Arabidopsis thaliana: one gene and its partner. The protein of the gene in region 1 interacts with the protein of each later gene in a pairwise test. Each region holds a gene or a part of one and is shown in the gene's direction. Other genes may lie near its edges. The genes, in order: AT1G74120 and MYBL2.

Region 1 (12,732 bases):
TGACTATAGATAATATATGAAGAGGATTAACATGGAAACTAAAAAAAGCAGCCTAAGCAGTATACCTGTATTAAGTATGTAAAGGTCATTATAGAATACTTCATCATCCGAATCAGAAGATTTCCCACAGCCGCCAAATATGAAAAGACGTTTGTCAACAAGCGCTGCACTATGAGCCTCTCTAACCCTTGGTCCTTCCCCTCTAATATCCGGACGTATCCAAGTGTGTGAATCTACCACACACAAAAAAAGAGAAGCAAACCCAAAAACAAAGAATTGGATTCAAACTCAAAAACGTCAAACCAGGAACAGTTAACACAAGCATTTTTTTAATCTAACCGGGTAACAAAAGAAACGATGGAAGAGCTTACAAGTATCAAGGATGTGCACATCGTTGAGATATTTGGTCCCATCAGTACCACCAAACACAAAAAGGTTATCACCAACTGTTGTACAGCTATGACTGTCCCTCGGGCAGGGCGGTACGCCATTGATTTCAGGTCGAATCCATATCTGCGTCTCTGCAACAAAATTGCCACAAATGAGACTAGTTTCAACAATGAAAATTTTGAAAACATGACTACGAGTAAACCACAAAATAGCATCCCAACAAATAGTATATATTAAATCTTGAAAAAGGATCATAAAGTCCAAATCATTCAAGTAAGGTATAACAAAGAAAGAAACATTGAGTAGGTTACTAAAGGACAAAGGAAAAAGATCAAGATTTGCAACAAAATAAGATAAGTTTGTGGGAGTGGGGTCTACCGCACGAGCAAATTGAACAAAATCATCGATACATACAGAGATCCTCAAAGATTAAGACTTTATGCAAAACCCACTAAGAGAATCGACGCACAAGAACTGATATTTGTAGAAAAGATACTAACCAGCGTCGAAGACATGAACTTGATTTGTTAAGCAATTGTCTCTGCCAAAGCCACCAAATACGTAGAGAAATCTGCCGCCTTTAATGGCGTTACAAGTGTGTCCCCATCTCTTTCCGGGGCCGAAAGAAGAAGAATCACCGAGACCCACTTGTTGGACCCTCTCCCACCTCATTGTCTTGGAAGAAAGATCCTTCCTTTGCGTTGAGAAAGTGCGGGAAAATTAAGGGTTTTGTGGAATAGAAGATTATAAAATTGAAGACGAGAAGAGGAAAATCCAAAATCCCAAAATTATTTCTTTAATGGTAATGGCGATACAGAGGAATATAAAGGTGATTCCTTTGCTTTAGGTTTTTCTCTAATAACAATGTATTAAAGTATATACACTCTAATACACGATTATTGAAACAATGGTTACTGCAAAAGAAAAGAAAAAAAAAAAGAAACAGTTACCGAAATTAAAACAATGGTGCGACGACGTAACTGAATAAATGGACTGATTCGTGATAAACGGAGCCTTCTTTACTTTTTTATGTTGAGCTTTAATTCGAATGAGTAATGATGTCAACAACAACAACAAAAATAATCCAATGAGTAATCTTTCTTACCTTAAAGTCTATGTGTCCAATGAGTAATTCGTGGTACCCGTAATTAATTGTTACATACACAAATTAATAATAACATGGTAAAAGTCTAAAAGAAATTAACGTAACGGCATAGTTAAATAGAAAATTGTCAAAGGAAATATATTGAATATTTTTGCAGTTAATGGAGTAAAATTCATTGTTTGTCCTATATAATCTTTGTGATTGACGTGAAAAGACAACCATATCTTGGGGATGAGACTTGGAATAAATGTCAAGACATTAACCTTAAGATAATCTACAATGTTCAAATAAAAGTTCCAATTTTGACGATAAAGAGAGAAAAAAAAATAGTTTCCAATGTAACCAAACGGTCCAAACCCATCAAATTGATCTCTTGGTTTCAGTTTACAAAACAAAAGTCCAACCCAAACGAAAAAATGTTGACAAAAATCTCATTTGTCACGAAGTTTAACATAACTTGCATGATGATGATCAGGTCCACTGAATCTTTTGCAGCAAATCAGTTCAGTATCAAAATCGACCTTTCTTTATCCGTGCCCACGCCATGGCAGCAACCACAACTCCTCCCAACTGACCCGAACTCGATGCGATATGGTTCGGTCCCCCCTGCATTCCCAAAAAAGTTATGGTTAAGAGATAGTCATATATAGTGTTTCAAAGCAAATGCGGATTAGGTTTTCAGATTATACACACCTCTGGAATATTTAAAATCTCGACTCCTAAGTTTATGATTCGCTGAAGATTAAAGAGTGCGAGTTTTTTAGTTGGTTCACATGACTTTCACTCAATAAGAAGAGTATGTAGAGAGTTCTTACAAACATTACATGCACTCGGAGCATCAACGCAAAGTATGTTGTAACTTTTGGGTAGATGAACATATCGAGAAGCGCGATGGCAAACATAGATCCATCAGCACCCTGTACACAAATAGGAAAGAGTTTACCTCATCGGCATTTGGTGATCCAAAAACAAGTGCATGTGCATTTTCGTCTCACTCTCTATATCTATCAACCAAGTCTGTTCATGCTCAGACAAATCATTTAGTTAGGTGAGTACGAACATACCAGCAGCTGCGAAATGGGGGCTGTTGATTGATGATCCTTAATGACAACTCCTTCACCCTGTATGATTGACCAGCCAATATCAAAGGTAAAGCATTTCGTTTAATCTCCAGAGGTAAAATCATTTAGTCTAAACCTCAAAACTTCGTTTTGCACATATAACATGTACTGCAAATGAAATGCAACATGATCAATGAAAGAAACTATCAATCTGTGGACCTTGTTGGGTAAGCTTCAAGTCTTGAAGCCCAAGACAACTTAAACAAGTCGGTTTAAGTTATGTCAAAAAGAGTAATTATCTAGTTCAAGAAGAAAAGGAAAAAAGGAGTTTCCTAATTCATGTAGGACTAGGAATAGGAAATTGCAGTGTGTGCTAACCCTATATATATGTTTGTTGAGTTGTGGCAAACATAAGAGAAAACATTAAAAGAGCTTTGGTGTTTAGTTTTTGAGAGAGTTTTCTAATCATCAATAAAAGAGAGTTATTCTTTTAAAAGCTTTTTTATAGCATGATTTAAGGAAACTTGCTATATACCTTGAGTGTAGCCAAGAGGGCGTGATAACTCAGGAAGCAAACAGAGCCACCAAGTGCTCCAGCAAAGTACAGCTTCAAAAGGTAGAGCGGTCCCAAGGTTCTTGCAATCTAATAGCAACAATGGATTTTAGAGATGAAGATAAATAGTTAATTCAATGGATAGATCAGCAGGTAGCAAATTTCCCAAAAAGAACCGACTTAATAGTATCTAGCTAAGGACTTTTCTTTCTTAAGTATATTAGCTATTAGTGAATGTGTCTCCAATAAAGTGAAAGTAGCCACTTCATAGGAAACAAATGAAAGCATTTCTCATCTCATTTACAAAAATCGAATATTGAGAAGCATTTTTCTATGGAGAAACGACAAGGAAAGATAATTCATACTCTGGAGCCGAAGTAGGAGATTCCAATCATGTTCAAGATGATTTGACTGGTACCAATATGACTAAAACCCGAAGTTATCAGCGTGTGTATATATCCACTCGTAAAACTGTACGTTGATAGCTGCTCAAAAATCAAGGTTCAAACATATCAAAGATCAACCAAATCCAAGACAAGAGCTTAGCAGTAATATGTTAGACCACAAAATTTTTCACCATCCAGCTCCTGTCTGAAACTCGCCACATTGTAAATACAGCAGCATTAGCTATTACCAGTCCAAAAACTACACCATTAGCTCCATTGATCCAAGACTTCCTGCCAGAGGAAAACACAAACCAAAATCAACTAGAGCTGGTGAAGAATTTTAAGATTCTGATGTTATTTCTATATCTGGAGAACAAAGTTTTAATGAGAAGGGTGTGTACAGTGTCGAGCTGCTAGTCTATCTATAAAGAGAAAATCATCAAATGAACGTTGCGCTACTCAAATCAACAACTACACAGAAATGGCAAAATAGCAAGTAAAGCCTACTAATTTCTCATCTTCTTCTCTGAAATTCTCATACATGTCGTATGTCTTGGACGAGCCAAACGTGTACTTAACCAGAAAAGCTTAAAAAGGTCGATAATTTACCACAGAAACTCTGTTTAAACCCTAAATCAAAACCAGAAATTTCATCCGGAAGACAAGTTTATCTCAGAAAAATGTAGACTTTTACTTAGCTAACGAGAAACAGAGGATCATAGAGAAAAGGAACTCAGAAATTTCAGAACTTTTCTTAGGAAAGCTTCGAACTTTACTTTGAAACCCAGCAAAATCACAAAAAGAGAGACGAAAAGAAACGATTCCATACCATCCCCGCTTTTGAAACCCAGTAAAACCACCAGACTCGAATCCATGACTAGGAAGCTCAGAACTGAAGAACCCAGCTCTAGATTCCATAACATTTCCAAATTTCAGCTTTAGGTTGGTGTTTCCCAACTTGCTAGCGAAGAACCCATGAACTTTCGCCGATCGCGATACAGCAGAAGGAACAAAGTGGGGTACTGAAGAAGGAGATGAGAGGCGAGAAGGAAGAAGATGGCGACTCTGGTTTGGCTTCTTCTTCACCATTTTGGTTAGCTGCGATTGCGAAGAAGCACCAACGTTGACGACGACCTTGCGAGAGAAGCTCGAGAAAATCGCATGCATTTTTTCTCCTTTTTCTTCGGAATAAATTTTCAATTTTTTATACCAAATGCATGAACTTCTGATTGTTTTATTGTCATGAGACACCATGAGGTATGTGTGTTAAAAACGTCACCTTTTTTTTAGTGCAATCAAAAGTGACGTCACACTAAACACTAGTAAAATAAAATAAAATCACATGCTCATTCCCGTTTAGGAAAGTTGTAAATTTAAACCATAACTTTTCCATCTCCAAAATCACAATTTACATACATCAAATTATCAAGTAACCATAACCAGAAACTGCTATATCTTATTATTCATCTTCTCGCTATTGCTGCAACCGCAATAGTGTAAAAGAAGAATCAAAGCAAATTCACCATCAAATCTTGTACTAGAAATCGGTTAAGTAGTCTTTCACAAACTCACATAATGAGATTTACTCGACATCAAAACAATTATGTAATTGGACACTGAACAATTCCTAGAATGTACCCAAGTGACTAGAATCTACTCTCTCTCTGTTCTCTATAAAACGGCTAACTTAAACAAAGTCACAAAGATCCTCAACTTGACAAAATGAGGAAAAATTTGCATTTGTCTTTTCACAATAATTTTTTATAATCTTTTTGGATATTCTCATAAGTATTTATTTGCATGTTAGTACTATTTGTAAGGAAAAAGGATTTAGTCTTTATAGTTTAGGTTTGTCTATTTTAAAGGAATAGATAATTCGTTGTTTTTCTGTATAATCCTTGTGATTGACTTCAAAAGAAAACAATAGCTTGGTGAGAAGACTTGGAATAAATGTCAAGACAATAACCTTAAGATAATCTTCAATGTTCAAATTTTGACGACAAGAGAATAAGAATTAGTTTACTTTGGAAACGAAGGTTTCCAAAATGTGCAGGCCAAACGTAAAAAATAGTAATAATAATAATCTCATTGTCACAAAGTTTAACATAACCAGTACTCCAGTAGTATAATGATGGGACAAGTTATATGAATCTTTTGCAGCAAGTCCAAGGTTTGATGGAGAAAGTAAAATAATCAATCAGTAGCAGAATCGACCTTTCCTTATCCTTGCCCACGCAATGACTGCAACTACAACTCCTCCCAACTGATCCAAACTAGTCAAGGTATTGTTGTTTTTCCCCTGCATTCCCAAAAAAGTTGGTCTGGTTTAAGATATAGTCATATAGTCTCAAAGCAAATGTGGATTAGATTCTCACATCATACACACCTCTAGCATCTTTATAATGTTGAGTCCTAAGCTATAGATTCCCTGAAGATTAAGAGAGTGAGAGTATTTTAGATGATTCAGAAACGTTTCACTCATTATGACGAGTATCTAGAGAGACCTTACAGCAAATACAGGCACTCGGAGCATCAACCCAAAGTATGTAGTAACTTTTGGGTAAAGGAGCATATCGAGAAGCGTAATGGCATACACAGGTCCATTAGCACCCTGTACACAAATTGGAAAGAGTTTGACCATCCAAAACATGAGCGTGTGCATCTCTGTTCCAGTCTGTTTATACTTTTAAAAAATAATTTAACTGGATGAGTGAAAAAACATACCAGCTTCCCAATGGGGACTTTTAATTGATCCTTAGGGACAACTCTTTGGCCCTGTATGATTGATTAACCAATAACAAAGGTAAAGCATTTCGTCTAAACCTCACAAACACATAGAGAACATGTACGTAGTACAAATGCACTGGAAAAACTACACATCTGTGGACCTAGCATGGTTAGGAAAATGAGAAAATTATGCTTGTTGCACTATACCTTGAGTGATATAACCGAGAGAGCATGACTACTCAAGAAGAAAACAGAGCCACCAAGTGCTCCAGCAAAGTAGAGCTTCAAAAGGTAGCGCGGCCCAAAGCTTCTTGCAATCTAAGAACAAATGGGATTCGATATAAAGATCAATAGGTAGCAAGTTTTTCTTTTTAAACGAACTAAGGACGGTCCTTAGATGAGCCAGATTAAGTGTAAGTAGCCGGTTCATACTTCATAGGAAACAAATGAAAGCATTTCTCATTTCGTTTACGAAAATTAATATATGGAAACAAGGAAAAAATCTTACTCTGGCTCCGAAGTAGCAAAGCCCCATCATATTCAAGATGATATGAGTGGCTCCAACATGACTGAAACCCGAAGTGATCAGCGTGTGTATACGTCCAGTCATAAAACTGTACCTTGATAACTGTCCAAATACCATATGGTTAATAATACATGTAGATTTTTTATTTTTAAAAAAGTTGTTAGAATTTGATGAGGTCAGACCATAAAATTCTTCACCATCCACATATTGTCCTTGCCTAAAACCCGCCACATTGTAAATACAGCAGCATTAGCTATTACCAATCCAAAAACTACACCATTAGCTCCATTAATCCAAGACTTCCTGCCAGAGTTAAACCAATAAAGTGGTTTTTTCTTTTTGGTATTAGTATCCAAAATCAAATGGAGCAGGTAAAGAATCTAAGATTTTTGATGTAGGAGAACAATTTTTTAAAGGAGAAGGTCTAAACAGTGTCCAGCTTGCTATTCTATGTCTTATCTATAAAGAGAAAAGCATCAAAAGAGCTTTGTGCTGCTCAAAATCAAGAACTACGCAGAAATGGAAGAAAAAAAAAGCCTACTAATTTCTCTGAATCCTGACACGTCTTTTACTTGGAAGAGCCAAACGTACAATTGACCAGAAAAGCTAAAGAGAGTTGTGAAAAAAGGTCGATGCTTTACCAAATAAATCCTGTCAAACCCAGAAATTTTATGGTGAAGACAAATTTATCTTTGAAAAATGTAGTTTTTACTTGGAAACAAATAGGTACAATATAAAACAGAGGACCATAGAGAAAGGGGAACTCAGAATTTTTCTTAGGAAAGGTTCCAACTTTACTTTGAAAAACAAAAAGGGAGAGGAAAAGAAACGATACCATCCACGTTTTTGAAACCCAGTAAAACCACCAGACTCGAATCCATGACTAGGAAGCTCAGAACTGAAGAACCCAGCTCTAGATTCCATAACATTTCCGAATTTCAGCTTCAGATTGGTGTTTCCCAACTTCCCTGCGAAGAATCCATGAACTCTCGCCGATCGTGATACAACATAAGGAGGAACAAAGCGGGAAGAGAGATCAAAAGGAAGAAGATGGCTCAGGGAATGGCGACTCTGGCTCGCCTGCTTCGTCACCAATTTGGTTAGCTGCGGGGAAGAGCAACCGACGGCGACCCTGCGACAGAAAATCGCATGCATTTCGAAACTAATTTCAAATGTTTTACCAAATGGCGCAAAAATAAGAGAATAGCATCAACTTCTTCTGATTATTCATGAAAAGTGTGTGTTTCAAAAACTCAGGTCTTTTAAGTGCAATAAAATAGTGATGTAAATGTAACAAGAAGTAACAACTTTCTTTTTTTAGGTAAACAAAAGATTCCCTCCGGTTTAGGGAAATTGTAAATATACAACTTCCAACTTTCATTAAACCATGACGTTCCCATCTCTAAACCACAATCCCACTCAAGACAAGGTTAAATGTCTTACAAAACAAATAGTGGGTGGCATTTTCGGAATAAGATGAAACATTGAGGGTACAAATAATAATCTTAATTTTGTACACGTCGTCATCGTCTTTCTTCCTCCTTCGTACAGTGATTGAGTGCCTTGAAACTAAATAAAAAAATGGCCTCAAAACTCAAAACCTTCATCAATCTCCGTGACTACCCAATAACCCTATTCAACCAGATTCGATCACTATCCTCACGAATTCTCACACCTATCAATCAATCTCACTACAGGAAACGAATTTTACTCGCGAATCTCCTTCAGAGGTATGGTTTCCCTCCTTCTTCTCTTCAGCACTTCCTCTCAAGAAACAATCACCTATTGAATTCGGACTTAGTAGAAACCGAAATTTCTCTCGGCATCCTATTGTCATTGAAAATCCCTCAGAAATCACTCGTTTCGTTGATTTCCGATTGCCCTAATGTTCTGCGATCAGAGTTTCTGAGGAAATGGAGAGTTCCTCTGTCTAATTGCGGTAAACACGGTGTCGTCTCATCTTCTGCGATTAAGAGCGTCCTTGAACATTCTAGTAGAATTGGGATTGGTCCAGATAAGTTTAATGAGTGCGTAAGGGTTTTGAAGAGTTTAGGGTTTTGTGATAGTACTGTGAGTAGGATTTTAAGTTCATTCCCTGGTGTTCTTTTAGTGAATGAGATTGAAATTCGTAGGAAGATTGAGTTTTTAGTTGGAATTGGCATTGCTCGAGATAACATTGAGAGGTTCTTTCACGTTTTTCCTGAAGTTCTAGGGATTGGTACTGAGACTAGACTTAAGCCATTGCTTGATGAGTTCATGAAGATGGGGTTTAGTAAGGATGATGTAAAGAAAGAGATTGCTAGAGAACCGAGAGTTCTTGGTTTGGAGTTAGGTGAGCTTCCGCGGTGTTTGGAGTTGATCAACACATTGAAATGCCGGGAAGTGATTAGAGTTAGTATAATCAGCGAAGGAGCATTTCGTGCTGGGTTTGAAGTGAAGCTCAGAGTTGATTGTTTATGCAAATACGGGTTGATTCGTAGAGATGCATTCAAGGTTGTATGGAAAGAGCCGAGGGTGATCTTATATGAGATAGAGGATATAGAGAAGAAGATTGAGTTTTTAACTAACAGAATGGGATTTCATATCAATTGTTTAGCTGATGTACCGGAGTATCTAGGGGTTAATCTTCAGAAGCAGATCGTTCCACGGTACAATGTCATTGATTACTTGAAACTAAAAGGTGGGCTTGGCTGTGATATTGGATTGAAAGGTTTGATCAAACCAAGCATGAAAAGATTTTATAATTTGTACGTGATGCCATACCCAGAGTGTGAAAGAATCTTTGGAAAGAGAAAAGAGAATGTCCGAGTGAATAAACGACATCCCGCAGGGCTTTGGAAGCTTATGAAGCCGCCTAGCAATCTAACAACAAAAGAAGATGTGCAGAACATGAAGTCCTTTATAGAGTCACTTGCTTAGTATGTTGGATCTTGGACTTGCCTCTTACTAGATTGAAAGAGATCGGCCACTCTCTAGAGGGTTCTTGCTCCCTCACTTTGCTATGAGCTGCTCTGAATTGATATGGGTTATCAGGAACTTTCAGTGACTATCGAATCTGATCTCAACTCGCTCGAGTTCATGGCTTGATTATTCAAAGGACAATGCATACTCCTGAATAAGCCATGCTCACTTCTCGTTGTGCATCTTGGGAAGACATCTACCAATGCCATTGCCTTCGTTTCCATGTCTCTGCCTGATAGATTTGCTGAGCAAATGTAATTGGACTTTGGTTCTAAAAAGTCAAGTGCCATGTTCCAACTTCCAACTGTAACTACTAGTTAGGGATGTTACGTGGGCCGAGCCAGGCCGGCTAGTAGCCCGTTTTGGCAACTTTTATGCTAGGCCGATTCATCTGTTCCGTGATCCATCCCAGACAAACCATTTGTTTTTGGCATTTATACCAAAAATATTTGTTTCCAACAATTTTTTTTCTTAAACATTATTTTCAAATGTTTTACGTAAAAGCTCTGTTAACAAGAAACTTAGATTTATGTATGGAAGAATTGGTTATACATGAGTCAGTAAGTCATGAAATCTGTATAATGGGAAGAAGTTAATCAGTTAAATCTTATTTATTCCAAGAGGGTGATTGGAGAAAAAAAGAAGAAGAAGAGAGTTATTGGTAACTAGTGTTATTTATGTATTAATGAAGAAGAGAGTTATTGGTGTTATATATGTATTAATCAATCACAAATTGTACTACTAGTTAATTATGTAAGTAAAATCAATTGAAATGCAATATTAAATTTCCATGAAGATTTTAATTATAGAGAAAATTAAACTTTTCTATACATAGATAGATTACATGGTTCAATAAAAATTATTGTGAATAACAAGAAGTATTTAAAAAACGAAACTTATACTCTAAAAAAAAAAAAAAAAAAAAGACCAAGTGTTAAAAGGCTTGTAATGTAAGAAGCGACAGTTGGTCAAATAACATCTTTGACTTGGTCAACGTATTTTAACAACGGTTTTCTGTTAGAAATGGACTAATAGTATTAACTTACAAAAGACACACCCGATTTGTGAGTTGTGACATTTGCTTTGTCCTTAAGTATCACCACAAGCCAGCTTATATTGTCTCTATAGTTAGACAACCTTTGACCTTATTATACATACGTATATATGGAGCTTTTTTTTCAATTTCATATGGCATATATTTGTGTCACTGTGTGTGTGGTATCAATGTTCAAGGGAGACAGTTTTGTGGTTAACGAGGTCGATGCTTTGTTTGGTCCATACCCTGCATCGTCCATGGCCACCATATTACTATGTTTCGTGACGTAATTGATGATATGTATATCAAATTTCAACTCAAACTAGTTGAATATGAATGATGCAATTATGCACATTGATTTACAGGCCAGCGCTGGATTTAATATCCATTGAGCAAGTTATGAGAAAACAGTGGTCAATTAGTCAATTACCATTAAGTTCTTTTGAAGAGTCCAATATGGAACAAGATCAAACAAATTATGAGACTACAAAGACTTATGAGTTTATAACCAACTGAATTAAATTTCTATAAACAGACTCTTCCCTCTTGCACCTACTTCATCTTCTTTCTCTTACTATGTTTCTTCAATAGTCTTGTAACTGATAATATATGACCATTGAATGTAAATCAAACCTCTGTGTAAGTTGATTTATATCAGTTTCTGTCTATAAACTAGACTATATAATATAAGCCATCCCCCGGACGGTTTTACTTTTAGAATTTATTAAAATAGTAGTATAAGTTCGCATGAAGGACCGACACTGTCGAGTCATGTGCGTTTTAAAGAGACAATGAGGAAACAGTGACTTTTTTGTTGGGTCAAAGGGAAGCAAATCCATCTTGTTGGTTAACGATTCCATTATTAATTTTGGTGGATTCCCAATGGAATATCTAGGTAGAAATCATACAGTATTTACGGGCAAATTTGAATTCAAGTATTGAAAATTCTGCTCATTATCCCATCCATGATCCATTTCTTTTAAAATTAGAAACTACAGTAAAGCACTATGTAGTCTTACACACGTGGTATCGAATGAGCGAGATATGGCTGAGTACATTTTTCATTGATTTATGAGATGGTCGGAAGTCGGAACACACAATAATATCGTACTCGACCGTGTTGACCTATATGTTACTATGTACATCAAAATAGTCATGTACATATATGCTAGTTTAAGCTGTAGCCTTTTTTTACTTCCTAAACGTCCAAATAGGTAGCCAACCCTATATAACTCTTTCACATTTCAGTCGAATCATATTCTAAAATTTAACCGACCATATTGTATATCTTCCTCCTTCCACCGGTAACTGACTTTCCCTTGCGCGAAAAAGGATATTATTCTCTACCAGTTCGCGATATACATTCTAATATTTGATTCGTTCTTAATTACATGCATTATCGATTAAAAAGTATCAGAACAACTAACGATCATCATTATCTAGTCCTCGGAAAAATATTAAAGAATATCTGGTCCGACATTGCTAGATCCACTTGACTGCGAGCGTATCGGTGTCCGTAAGATTTATTGACTAGGTGGTATAGGAATTGGTAGTAAATAAATGAATATTTTTTCTTATGCATATATCTTTATATTTATATACAGTCTATGTTTTTAAGTTCTAACTTATTCATCTGATCTGCTGATCTCTTATTAGATATGTTTTAACAAAAAAAATCTCTTATTAGAGTATGAGGTTTCTTTAATATGTTTTTTCCTCTAGTTAAATGAATAGAACAAAATGGAAATTATATTTTAGTTAGTTCACCGAATCTCTTATTTAATAGAGGAATTGGTTTCTATCTTTTGTTCTTTCTCGTCATTGGAATAAACTGAATGATTTATTTTGTTTTTGTTTCAATATAAGTTATATAACTTCTAACATTCAGTAAGAACTATATATATTCTAATTTATTTACATGAAAATAATATACTTAGTTTTAAACTCCTATTATTAAGATTTTTGGTCATGATGAAACATTCCTTTG
Region 2 (11,898 bases), 1.1 Mb from region 1:
CGGAACTTACGACAAAAAAGCTCCGGCCGGTTATGTCAGGAAATCTGAGCAGTCGCAGTTGCAGCTGTTGCCGGGAGCTCCCGAGAACCACTACATTTCTCTTTTTAGCGACGAGAATCCCAACGCTTGCACCGTTATGTAATAAATAATTTACTCTAGTAGTATTATCCACAGCATGTAACGTTTTTATCAAGCAATTGGCTCTCTCTCTCTCTCTCTTTTTGTTATGTTAATGCAGAGAGGAAGAACCAACTATAGCTAGTTGTGTAAAAATTTCAATATTTCAAAATAAGTTAGTGGAATGTGTATAATCAATGTGTTTAATATCAAAGTATTTTCGGGTGATTTATGTTTTTATTTACGATTATGCAAATTATTATATTAGTGGAATTAATTGAAGTTATTTAAAAATAAATACGAAAAAAGGAAAATCGGTTAAGTGCTCAGGTTGGTTAAAAATTAATTAAGAGAAAATAAACAAAAAGCTACGTGCTGTTGGAGTTTTGTTGGTTTTGTGAAGGCAAATTAGTCAGCGAAAAAAGTGTTGTGAAGTGGTTTTGTGGTAATCTATGCGGCTGTGCCAAGTGAAATCCATACATCATCAGATAATAAAATATCAACTTTTTATCTCTATATTTTATCTTCCATTACGTAGTTTTTGACACATAGAAGATCCAACAGCGTTTAACTAGATTTTCTTCGGAGCCATTAAATATAGTTTGTTCCTCAATCGAAGTAGATATGCGGCTGATGATGCAGCCATAAAAAAAGAAAGGTATTTGTAGTCATAACTTTCTTAGTAAATGACTTTAGGTTTAGAAAATGACGCGTAACTAATCAAGAAAATTAGTAGTAACCGTAATTAACTTGGAACGTAACCATAGCAAAATATTTCCGACCACTCGCAAGGAGACAAGTCAATTTGTAAGTGAAATTAGAAATTGTGTTTCTTACGAAACGGTTAATTTATTGCACAATTTGGTCTGCTTCTTGTTTTCTTTATAACTATTTTGAGTATGTTTGTTACATGCATGGATGATCAGAAATGTAATATATTATTCTTCGAATAAAACTGTGGCACCGTGCACATATCCAACCTTAATACATTATAGTCTAATCTTAATATATTTTTGTAGTTCAAACCTTGCTGTGAATTTGTATATAATATACTGGGAGATTTTATTCTTGTACAACTCAAAACAAATTAATGCCTCACGTAAAACAAACACCTGTTTAATCCTTAGAATGAGTGATCTTTAAATAAAATCCCAAGAATATTAGAATTTGAAATTTCATAATATTATGGTGCTTATGATGAGATGACATTTAAGTATCTCGCTGGATATTTCAAATCAACTGTTTGGGACGAAACTGATATGACTGATTATTAAATTATGACTTCGCATAACTCGAAAGTTGAAACACAAAAATGGATATGTTAGATTTGAAACTGTGAAAAGGACGCAAACAAATGGAGAGATGAGAAGCGGCACACGAAGGGAAAACGCAAACGCGCGTTTGAACATATCAAGGTGGGACTTAAGGTAAAATCGTCGTTTGATGGCGACAACCGCATTTTTAGCTAGGTGGGAGATGGGCTTTTGGATAACCTCCACGTGTACAGTACCCCAGACATCGACGGCTTCCAGTCATTTTGACTAGGAACACCAAAACATAGACAGGCTCAAAAGTCAATAGTACTAGCAATTATCTGTGAAACCAAAAACGAACCAAACCTGAAATTTGTAGAACTGGATTGATCACAAAATCTGTATATAATAGGAACTTTGTATATATAATGGTTGATTTTGTTTTAAATTTTGTTGATTCAGAGTCAAATTGATTAATTTTGGTTTAATTTGATTTTTTTCCTCACACTCTTCAAAAAGTTAATTTGGTGTATTTTCTTGTTAAATTTAATTTTTAGGTTTCTTGGATTTGTCTGAATTATTTTTTAAAAGCATGAATATATATTGTAGTTGTATAATATATGATGTGTATTCAAATGAAAAGCATAGAGTATATATATATATATATGTATAACCACTATTTGCGTGTTTTTTACGTTAGAACTCATGCTAGATGATAATCTTTGGAGTAGCATCAAGAGAAGTTTAAAAGGAACTATAGTTCCAACTTGTAACAAATAAAGAATATGTTAGGTTTTTGGGCTGTTTTTGATTCTCCCTTTTGAAAAATTATTTGTTGATGCTGGGTTCATTTTGGGCCTGGCTAGGTATATTTTATATTGTCAGTCTTTTATAGACTGATGGGTTACTTTTTCGCTACTTTCAATATTAATGAAGAAAAAGTTTATAAAAAAAAACAGAAAAAACAAAAAGAATTAGTTTTAGAGAACATTAGGTTTGCTAGATTTCGGCTAACTCGCAGAGAAATGGTTCGACCTTTAAGGCAAACATAACTACAAATTTCAATGGTTGAAATTTGGTGTTTGGACATGCGAATAAAGATCTGTTTAGTGAAGGAATGTTTGTGAGACCTCCCACAAGCTTGGATGATAACCTTAGCTTTAACCATTATAGGTCTGCGATAATGCATGTTACGGGAGGCTGAAGGAGCTAAAACGATAACATGGTTAAGACAATTTTTGAGAGATTGGAAAAACTCATTCTAATTTTTTTTGTAACGCGTAAGTTAGAGAAAATATCTTAATAACGGGACGAAATATAGTGGACGAACTAGGCCCAAAAGTTTCCATGGTTTCTTTCTTGTATTAGTTCCATTAGAAGAATGTTGATTTTTTCGTAAAAGATCCATTTGAGAAGACAGAACTATTAACCTTGTTATTCACAAAAAGAATTATGAAGTATGAACCCTGTTTAATTTTCAGTTAATTTTTGATAGATATAAACCATATAATTAATGGATATATTATATACGTATATATATATATTCATTTTTTAAGAAAAATCAATACTCTTGTCATGTACATATAATATTCAAATTCTAGTTTTATAATGTAGAAGCTTACTAATTAAAAAAAAAACCATTCCTTTTTGGAAGATAAATTCTAGGAAAGTAGCGACTCAATAGTCAAGAGAATGAAAGCAAAGAACAACAAAGTTATTTGACACCACACACTCGTATGCATAAATACGCAAAACCCCAAAGAACTTCTTCAACTTCTCTCCTCAACTTTTAAGTATTCCACACATACAAACACACACACACACTTGACTTTTCTCATATAATTTCGACAGCTCGTGAAGGACAAAGACATGGAGCCTTCTCGGAGGAGAATGACCAGAGACATGTTGCTTCTAATCGTAACGATGGCATGGCTCGTAACCGGAGACGAAGGAGGCATAAAGCAAGAGGAGCGACTGTTTAATCTTGGGAAGCTTGAGATGTTCGTTGACAAGCTTCCTCATATACCAACACTTCATGGCTACCACTTCGTCAATGGCTTCCTCAAACCCAAATCTCTTCACATAGGCATGTTCTTCAAGAAATGGGTATTTAATTCTTTCCTTCTTCTCATTTTCCTTATATTCTAATTTTTGTTTCCTTGTTTTCTAATTTCTTTCCTCTATTATATATTTTCCTCTTGTTTTCTCTGTTTTCTTGAAGTTATATTTGGTATGTTATTAAATTAAATTTCCAGTCTATAGTCGTTCGTGAAAACAGATCATCTTCCATTTCTGTCATGAGGTTATAAATGGCCAAAATATTTAGATAGAAAATTCAAATAACCATCATTTAGTGATTTACACCTGTATTACATGCAAAAAAATAGACTCATTAACTTTCTTGACCAACTTAAGCCGACTAACTAATGTTGAACATTATCTCCTTAATGAAAAACATTAACATTAAATTCGATATCGTATAAGATTAGTGAAGTTAATTTGCTTTTTACTTGGCTACGGCTCTTCTTAGGTTGTAAAGTGATTAGAATAGATTCGTGTTGTGTTCACACTATTGTCCCCTCACTTGTTTGTCGTCTTTGAGAAAAAGTATTAATAATTGTATACTTTTTATCACTCGTCATGTTGAATATTATTTGCCCTTCACCGAATGAATACTCAAATTCCTCTTTGTTCATAAACTAATCTAAACTCATTAATGACAAAAATTAACATTAAATATTCGAAATCGTATAGATCAGTGAAAACTTAAGTGCTTTTTAGTTGGCTACGGCTCTTTTTTGGTAAAGTGATTTGGAATTGATTCATCTTGTGTACTCCACTCTTATCCTCTCACTTATTTGTCCTCTTGAGAAAAATATCTATTGGTTTATAGTACTGACGAATCAGTGCTCTTTTATAACTAGTCAAATTTAATATTATTTTGCTCTCCTACCGAATGAATACACATTTTTTTTATAGTTTCTATAAGCTCTTTAAGTTTTGTTCTGATAAATTATACTAAGAACATCATCAAATCTAATGATTAATTGATAGAAAGTTATTACCCACTAACTATATAATTATGATTGCTTTTCTACCACTTTGGCCTAGCTAATTGTGCTCTGTTCCTTTAAACTATTTTATTACTCTGCTAATGATTCGAATGATTTAAGTTTTTGAATTTCTCTAACTCTGTCACACACTGATATGAGTTAAATCATTGTGAAGTACAGAAATTCCACAGAGACTTGCCTGCCACGCCAGTGTTCGCATATGGTACATCAAAGCGTTCAGCAACAGTTCCTGGACCAACAATAGAAGCTGTTTATGGCGTCGACACCTACGTGACGTGGCGAAATCACCTCCCTTTACATCATATCCTCCCTTGGGACCCAACAATCTCTCCGGCAATCCCTAAACACGGCGGCATTCCCACGGTGGTTCACTTGCACGGAGGTATCCACGAACCAACTAGCGATGGAAATGCAGATTCATGGTTCACCGCTGGTTTCAAAGAAACTGGTTCCAAATGGACCAAAAAGACTACACATTACGTCAACAAGCAACAACCTGGAAACATGTGGTACCATGACCACGCGGCAGGGTTGACCAGAGTCAACCTTCTTGCCGGTTTGTTAGGCTCTTACATTCTCCGTCATAGCTCAGTCGAATCGCCTCTTCGGTTACCTACCGGACGCGAATTCGATCGTCCTTTGGTCATCTTTGACCGATCTTTTCGTAAAGATGGTTCCATTTACATGAACGCTACAGGGAACAATCCAACGATTCATCCACAATGGCAGCCAGAGTATTTCGGCGACGCCATCATTGTGAACGGTAAAGCATGGCCGAGATTAACCGTCCGCCGCCGGAAATATAGATTTCGAATCACAAACGCTAGTAACGCAAGGTTCTTCCGGTTCTTCTTCTCCAACGGTCTCGACTTCATTGTCGTTGGTTCCGATTCCGCTTATCTAGCGAAACCAGTATCGACCAAATCTGTTCTCCTAGCTCCGTCGGAGATTGTCGACGTACTCGTTGACTTTTCAAAGTCAACATCGAAAACGGCAATTCTTGCCAACAATGCACCTTATCCTTACCCGTCGGGAGATCCCGTCACGGAAGAGAACAGCAAAGTCATGAAGTTTATAATCAACTACAAATCAGAAGTTGACACGTCGATTATTCCGAAGAAGCTAATTGAATACCCTCCTGCTCATGTATCAACCTCCACACGTACACGTTACATTGCTATGTTCGAGTATGTGTCAAGCATTGACGAGCCAACACATCTATACATCAACGGTCTGCCTTACAACGCTCCCGTAACCGAAACTCCAAAAATCGGCACAAGCGAGGTATTTATAACCAAAATTTCACTATTCACTAACCGTATAGTTCAAATCTTTAATGCTTACAATAATGAAGGTGTGGGAAGTGATAAACTTAACCGAGGATAACCATCCGTTGCACATTCACTTGGGATTGTTTAAAGTATTGGAGCAAACGGCATTGGTGAAGAGTGAGGAGTTCATAGAGTGCATGACTAAAAGAAACGATGCCGTCAAGTGTGAGATTAGCAAATACGCACGAGGGAACAAGACCGCGGTTACGGTACACGAGCGGGGATGGAAAAACGTATTCAAGATGATGCCGGGACATGTAACGAAGATACTCGTTAGATTTTCTTACATTCACTCAAACGAATCTTACTCCTTTGACGCAACTCAAGAGCCAGGCTATGTTTACCACTGTCACGTAAGTTGGTAAAATACTAAAAAGTTGATGACGAATTTAGCTTTTTCTTTTAGAACTAACTGTATGATATTGGCATTGCAGATATTGGACCATGAAGACAATATGATGATGAGGCCCTTTGCAATGGTGCTATAATTCTAAAACGAAAACAATTTACAATTACGAGTGCAGAATACAAACGAGTTGATATAGATTGAGATTTCAGATTACATAAATATCTTATACAGAAAGTGTTAAAAGATAATTCGATTGGATTGATGTTATATCTCTATCATTGTTTTTCACTTGGCCTCGGAGATTAGAAGCAGCTTGTTAATGGGCTTTTAACAGTTACGGGCTTTAACGGGCCCAATAACAAAACTCTTTTGCTTCTTATATGATTTTGGAGTAGATGGTAAGTGAGATAGGGAAGTGGTGAGTGAAATTAGAAAATTCCTCGTATACAAAGTCCTAACCACCAGTCAAATTCAATTGAATGCTCCCATGTTTCTCCCTTATCTGTTCCTGAACCTACACTCTTTAATTTCATGGTTTCCTATTTTCTCTTAATTTGTTTATTTTCATGTCATATTCGGAAGCTTCAGATATTTTATCAAATAATGCATCCAAATAATTTTGAGCCACTAGTCAAATATCTTCTTCGTCTTCTTCTTGCTTAATATATATTTTAGTGAATCTATTATTGATACCACACACACATCTTTGATATTTCACAAAAGGTATCTATCGGAGCCGTACATATATTTTACGAAAATGTGGATAAGAGCGAGATTTGGATTGGTATTGGTAAGGCAAATTAAATGCGACACACTTCCACATTCATGATTCCACAAATTCTAATGGATTTGAACAAATATGGGACCAATTTTTATTTGTTTCAACTCCTAAATGTGGGACCAATTAACAAGGTTGATGTATTCTTCTTGTTCTTCCTCGTTCATTAATAGTTTGATTGAGCATGCACGCTTCTCTCAACCCACCAGTCCAAGTCAAACCTCCTCAAGCCATCCCCTAATCCTATATATCAGTTTCTTCTCGCAAACCACCTCACAATCTATCAACAGTTTTAAAAAAAGACATAACTCAACCAATCTCACTTTGAAAAAGACATGAACAAAACCCGCCTTCGTGCTCTCTCCCCACCTTCCGGTAACTATTTTCTCTTTAAACAGTATTAATCATGTGTTTTGCTATTCACATCACCAAATTATTCATAGTTTAAAGAGGTCGATGTAGAATTCATAGATATACATGTGTACATACGTGACTTTGTGACGATATATCGTTTTAATTTGTTAAATTTTGATCCCTTCTCTTAGGTATGCAACACCGTAAGAGATGTCGATTGAGAGGTCGAAACTACGTAAGGCCAGAAGTTAAACAACGCAACTTCTCAAAAGATGAAGACGATCTCATCCTCAAGCTTCATGCACTTCTTGGCAATAGGTTCGTATTCATTCTTCTTATTCTTTAATTCAATAGTAATGTGAACGGTACGTGCTAATAATCATTTTGATGTTATGTTTTTTCAGATGGTCATTGATAGCGGGAAGATTGCCAGGACGAACCGACAACGAAGTTAGGATCCATTGGGAAACTTACCTAAAAAGGAAGCTCGTAAAAATGGGAATCGACCCAACCAATCATCGTCTCCACCATCACACCAACTACATTTCTAGACGTCACCTCCATTCTTCACATAAGGAACATGAAACCAAGATTATTAGTGATCAATCTTCTTCGGTATCCGAATCATGTGGTGTAACAATTTTGCCCATTCCAAGTACCAATTGCTCGGAGGATAGTACTAGTACCGGACGAAGTCATTTGCCTGACCTAAACATTGGTCTCATCCCGGCCGTGACTTCTTTGCCAGCTCTTTGCCTTCAGGACTCTAGCGAATCCTCTACCAATGGTTCAACAGGTCAAGAAACGCTTCTTCTATTCCGATGAGAAATGGTGTATTTGTTTGTACACATTTGTTATATTACAAATGCACATATTATAATATTCACTAGAGAGATGGTATAACGATGTTTGAAATATGTTAATCCTGAATTGGACCGGCTGGTCATTGAACAACTATTCTCTTAAATGTCCGGTTCTGTTTTCAGTGATTAGTATTATAGTAGATCGTTAATAACTAACCGACGATAACCGCTGCTTATTTGATCAATCAAGCTGTAAGAAATTATAGCTAATACAGCAATGTTAACGGTGCACATTGACGGGAAGTATTAATTAACTCTCTTAAAATGGACAAGTATGTTCATTTTCCTCCAAACTACACTTTACTCTTTATTCAAAAGCAATTTCAAACTCTCGTTTCGCACAAAGGAATCTATAAATACGAAAATTACTTACTAAAGATATAAAGGAAGCAAATTAGTTAACTTATAAAATAATGAAATGTATCGATTTAAGGATGTCTTAAGCATGGAGACTATACGGTCAAATATGCACCAACTAGTACAAACACGTTCACATATATTTTGAACAAAACTCACAATGAATTTGTTTAAAGTATCTTCATACATGCTTAAAATAAAAATTAGAAAGTAAATACATTTGTACAACCGCTATTCAAACATCATCAAATATTAAACAAAATTGCATGACCAAAGAATATGAATGTTTGACAAGTATAGAAGAGGAGATTGTTTGCTAAGAAAATGGACCAATATTTATCATCGAAACTACAATCATCATTAAGGTTGTTTCTACGATTGCGGGATCTACAACCATCAAAGAAGTTGTTTCCACAACTGTATAAACTCTGATCTCACCTTCACTTTCATATTGTTCCGCAAGTACAACTACACCATAAATTTCAGAAATAACGGTGAGTATTGTGGTTAATGGAGAGTTGTGTGTGGATGTGCAAGCAAAAATCACATGCCTCATCAAACACTTCAAGGTTATTAATCTTCATCTGATTCAGACGAATACCCTCTTCTTTATGTAGATCTTTTTATTTTTGCATATGTCCAAAAATAATTATGAAACCAGCCAGTCAAACTTGCCAAAAATGTCTAAAAGATAATGTTGTCTATTTTTCAAGTTGCTATCGGTTGTTATGTAGGACGCAGAAGTCACGGGCATGGACGTCGGCCGATATGATGTGGATGTCGTGGTTGAACCTTTCTTTTGTTAAACCGAGATAACTTTTCAATACAAGACTGTCACAAACTATATGTAAGTCATGTTTATAAATTTTAATCAAAAGTATACTAAACTGTGGTAAAACAGTTTTAAGAAAATTATAGGTCCCAATTTGTATACATGCTTCAAATTATCTAAAATGTTGTTAAAATTCGATCTACCGGGTCATGTTCGACCGTTCCATTTGCAGGCTATATAATACTCACCAAAATTATGTTAATTGACATAATTTTTCTAGAACATTTTTGCTGTAAGAGATATTAAATTTTCTTACACATACAAAGTTATTTTTAAGGGAAAATAAAACATGTAAAGCTATATTTAGTTAATTACAAAGAAGATTTTTTCCATCTTTTAATAAACACTAGGGTAAGACAGATCATATACTAGAAACACATGTCAATACAATGCATCTAAAGGCCTGGAAATTTTATCTTAGTTTCTTTTCAAATAGAAAAAATAACTAATTTGACTATTTATTACCATTTAAGATTACATAAATAATACATACAGATAAATTTCATAACTCCAACATAAATTTCAACACAACTATAAAATACAATCATATAAGATCTACTTTACAACTAAGCACACAACAAACCATTTTCTTCAATAAATAGAAAAGTGGATTTTTTTATTGAATTTAAAAGTATAGTTCATTTCTATTATACAGTTTTGATCTAATATAAATGATAATAATTGATTATTTTTTTGACAACTGTATCATTTTCTCTTCAACCTCTACTTGCACCGTGAATCTCGCTCTCAATTATCTAGTTTGTTCTATTGTATTATTTAAATGTATCACATAAACTTTTATCTAAAAATATAAAGCCAGTAAACTAAAAAGAAAAGAAAAAACCATTTTTAGAGTTAGATAAAAAGTTTAAAACAAAAAACACTAAAACCAAAACGGTGTCGTAACAGCGACTTATCCTTTTTCGCCACATGGCTTCGTTGGATACATAAAAGCGATAGAGACGCATCTCTGAGTCAGAAGCGAGCCAGCGAGAGAGAGAGAGCGAGTCACAAAAATTCGAATTTTAAGCCGCCGTGTGAGACGGCGTAATGGCTGGTGGAGCTATCACTCCCGATTCTCTCATCGGTCTTATTGCTGAAATCAATGAGATTCCGGGGAATTTTGGTTTGTTTAAGAAGGATTGTTCCGATCTCGCGCGACGAGTCGGTCTCCTGACGCATTTGATTGAGGAAATCAGGGATTCTTCTCCGCCGTCGGAATCTGATGCTTCTTCTTCGTTGAATTCTCATGAATGTGATTGGTGGTCTGATCTTGTGGTGGGACTTCAAGCCGCGAAGCGTCTTTTGTCTTCAGCTACTAGTTTCCAAGCTCGCGAGTCCTCTGTAAGCATTCTAAACCATTCTCAACGATTGAAAATGGATTTGTGATTTCACGAAGATTTGGTCTCGCCATGGCAGGAACGTAATTTATAGGAAGAATTTGTTTTTAGTTTTTTTAGATTGGAAGATACTATTGTTGACATTTGTGTAGTGAAGAGCATTATTAATATATACATGAGGAGCTCTCTAAACTTTGATGTGTGATTTTGATTGAAGGATGGGGCAGCCAAGAGGATCTCATTCCAGTTCCAATGTGTTACATGGAAGCTGGAGAAAGCATTAGGTGATTTGACATATGATAGATATGATATCTCTGACGAAGTCCGTGAACAGGTAAAAGTTTGTTCATTATGTAGAATGTATGAAGATTTGGTTTTCCTATCCATGGAGGTGTTTCTAAGGGTTTTTTTTTGCTTGTGATTAGGTGGAACTAGCAAGATTACAGTTAAGAAGAGCAATGCAGAGATATGGATCGTTAAATTCGAAGAAGTTCTCGAGTGGTTTATCTGAGCCAATGGAGAAAGATGCCTCAAGTAATAGAAAAGTTATTGAAAAGTTGGAGAGTATTCCAGAGACAGTGCATTCTTTATCAGATGAGAAGAAATTTGAATCACCCCCTCCTTGGAAGAGCTCTTCAGTATCATTGGCCTTCTTTTTATCAAAGGATGGTGATGATGAGAGATTAGAGAAAGCAGTTACCGAGAACAGCGATGACTCACAGAAATCGGATAATCTCACGATTCCAGAGGACTTTCTTTGTCCAATCTCTCTGGAACTGATGAAGGATCCTGCTATTGTTTCCACAGGACAGGTCTGGTTTAAAAAATCAAATCTTTATATAGTGCTAACGTATGGTTGTTGATTTGAAACCTTAACAATGATCTTCTCTCTTCGTTGGCAGACATACGAGAGGTCGTTCATTCAGAGATGGATAGACTGTGGAAATCTGAGCTGCCCAAAGACACAGCAGAAACTTGAAAACTTTACTCTTACTCCAAACTATGTCCTCAGAAGCCTGATATCTCAGTGGTGCACTAAGCACAACATTGAGCAACCAGGTGGTTACATGAACGGTAGGACCAAAAACAGTGATGGGTCTTTCCGTGATCTAAGTGGAGATATGTCAGCGATCCGAGCATTGGTTTGTAAACTCTCTAGCCAATCAATCGAAGACCGCAGGACTGCGGTTTCTGAAATCCGCTCTCTGTCAAAAAGAAGCACAGACAACCGAATTCTGATTGCAGAGGCA

What was found.
Region 2: the proteins of AT1G74120 (region 1) and MYBL2 interact in a two-hybrid assay, tested with the Arabidopsis thaliana proteins (one large-scale study listed by BioGRID).

Annotation. Positions count from the first base shown.
Region 1 is NC_003070.9:27,868,858-27,881,589, reverse strand, and holds AT1G74120 (Mitochondrial transcription termination factor family protein), read left to right. Parts: upstream 1-8,257; 5' UTR 8,258-8,329; coding exon 8,330-9,667; 3' UTR 9,668-10,416; downstream 10,417-12,732. Other genes in the region: AT1G74150 (Galactose oxidase/kelch repeat superfamily protein), read right to left, coding at 66-233, 372-521, 891-1,062; AT1G74140 (Rhomboid-related intramembrane serine protease family protein), read right to left, coding at 2,006-2,101, 2,189-2,230, 2,311-2,412, 2,560-2,616, 3,092-3,199, 3,475-3,594, 3,687-3,786, 4,325-4,662; AT1G74130 (Rhomboid-related intramembrane serine protease family protein), read right to left, coding at 5,693-5,794, 5,882-5,923, 6,005-6,106, 6,220-6,270, 6,430-6,540, 6,731-6,850, 6,931-7,051, 7,584-7,903. UniProt on the Arabidopsis thaliana protein: Transcription termination factor required for mitochondrial NAD2 intron 3 splicing and normal membrane respiratory chain Complex I activity. Essential for normal plant growth and development. Binds to RNA but not to double-stranded DNA.
Region 2 is NC_003070.9:26,791,566-26,803,463, reverse strand, and holds MYBL2 (MYB-like 2), read left to right. Parts: upstream 1-6,934; 5' UTR 6,935-7,237; coding exon 7,238-7,277; exon of another isoform or gene 7,278-7,447; coding exon 7,448-7,574; intron 7,575-7,660; coding exon 7,661-8,081; 3' UTR 8,082-8,412; downstream 8,413-11,898. Other genes in the region: HIPP20 (Heavy metal transport/detoxification superfamily protein), read left to right, coding at 1-142; LPR2 (Cupredoxin superfamily protein), read left to right, coding at 3,240-3,476, 4,604-5,728, 5,799-6,128, 6,210-6,263; AT1G71020 (ARM repeat superfamily protein), read left to right, coding at 10,359-10,652, 10,866-10,982, 11,074-11,460, 11,551-11,898.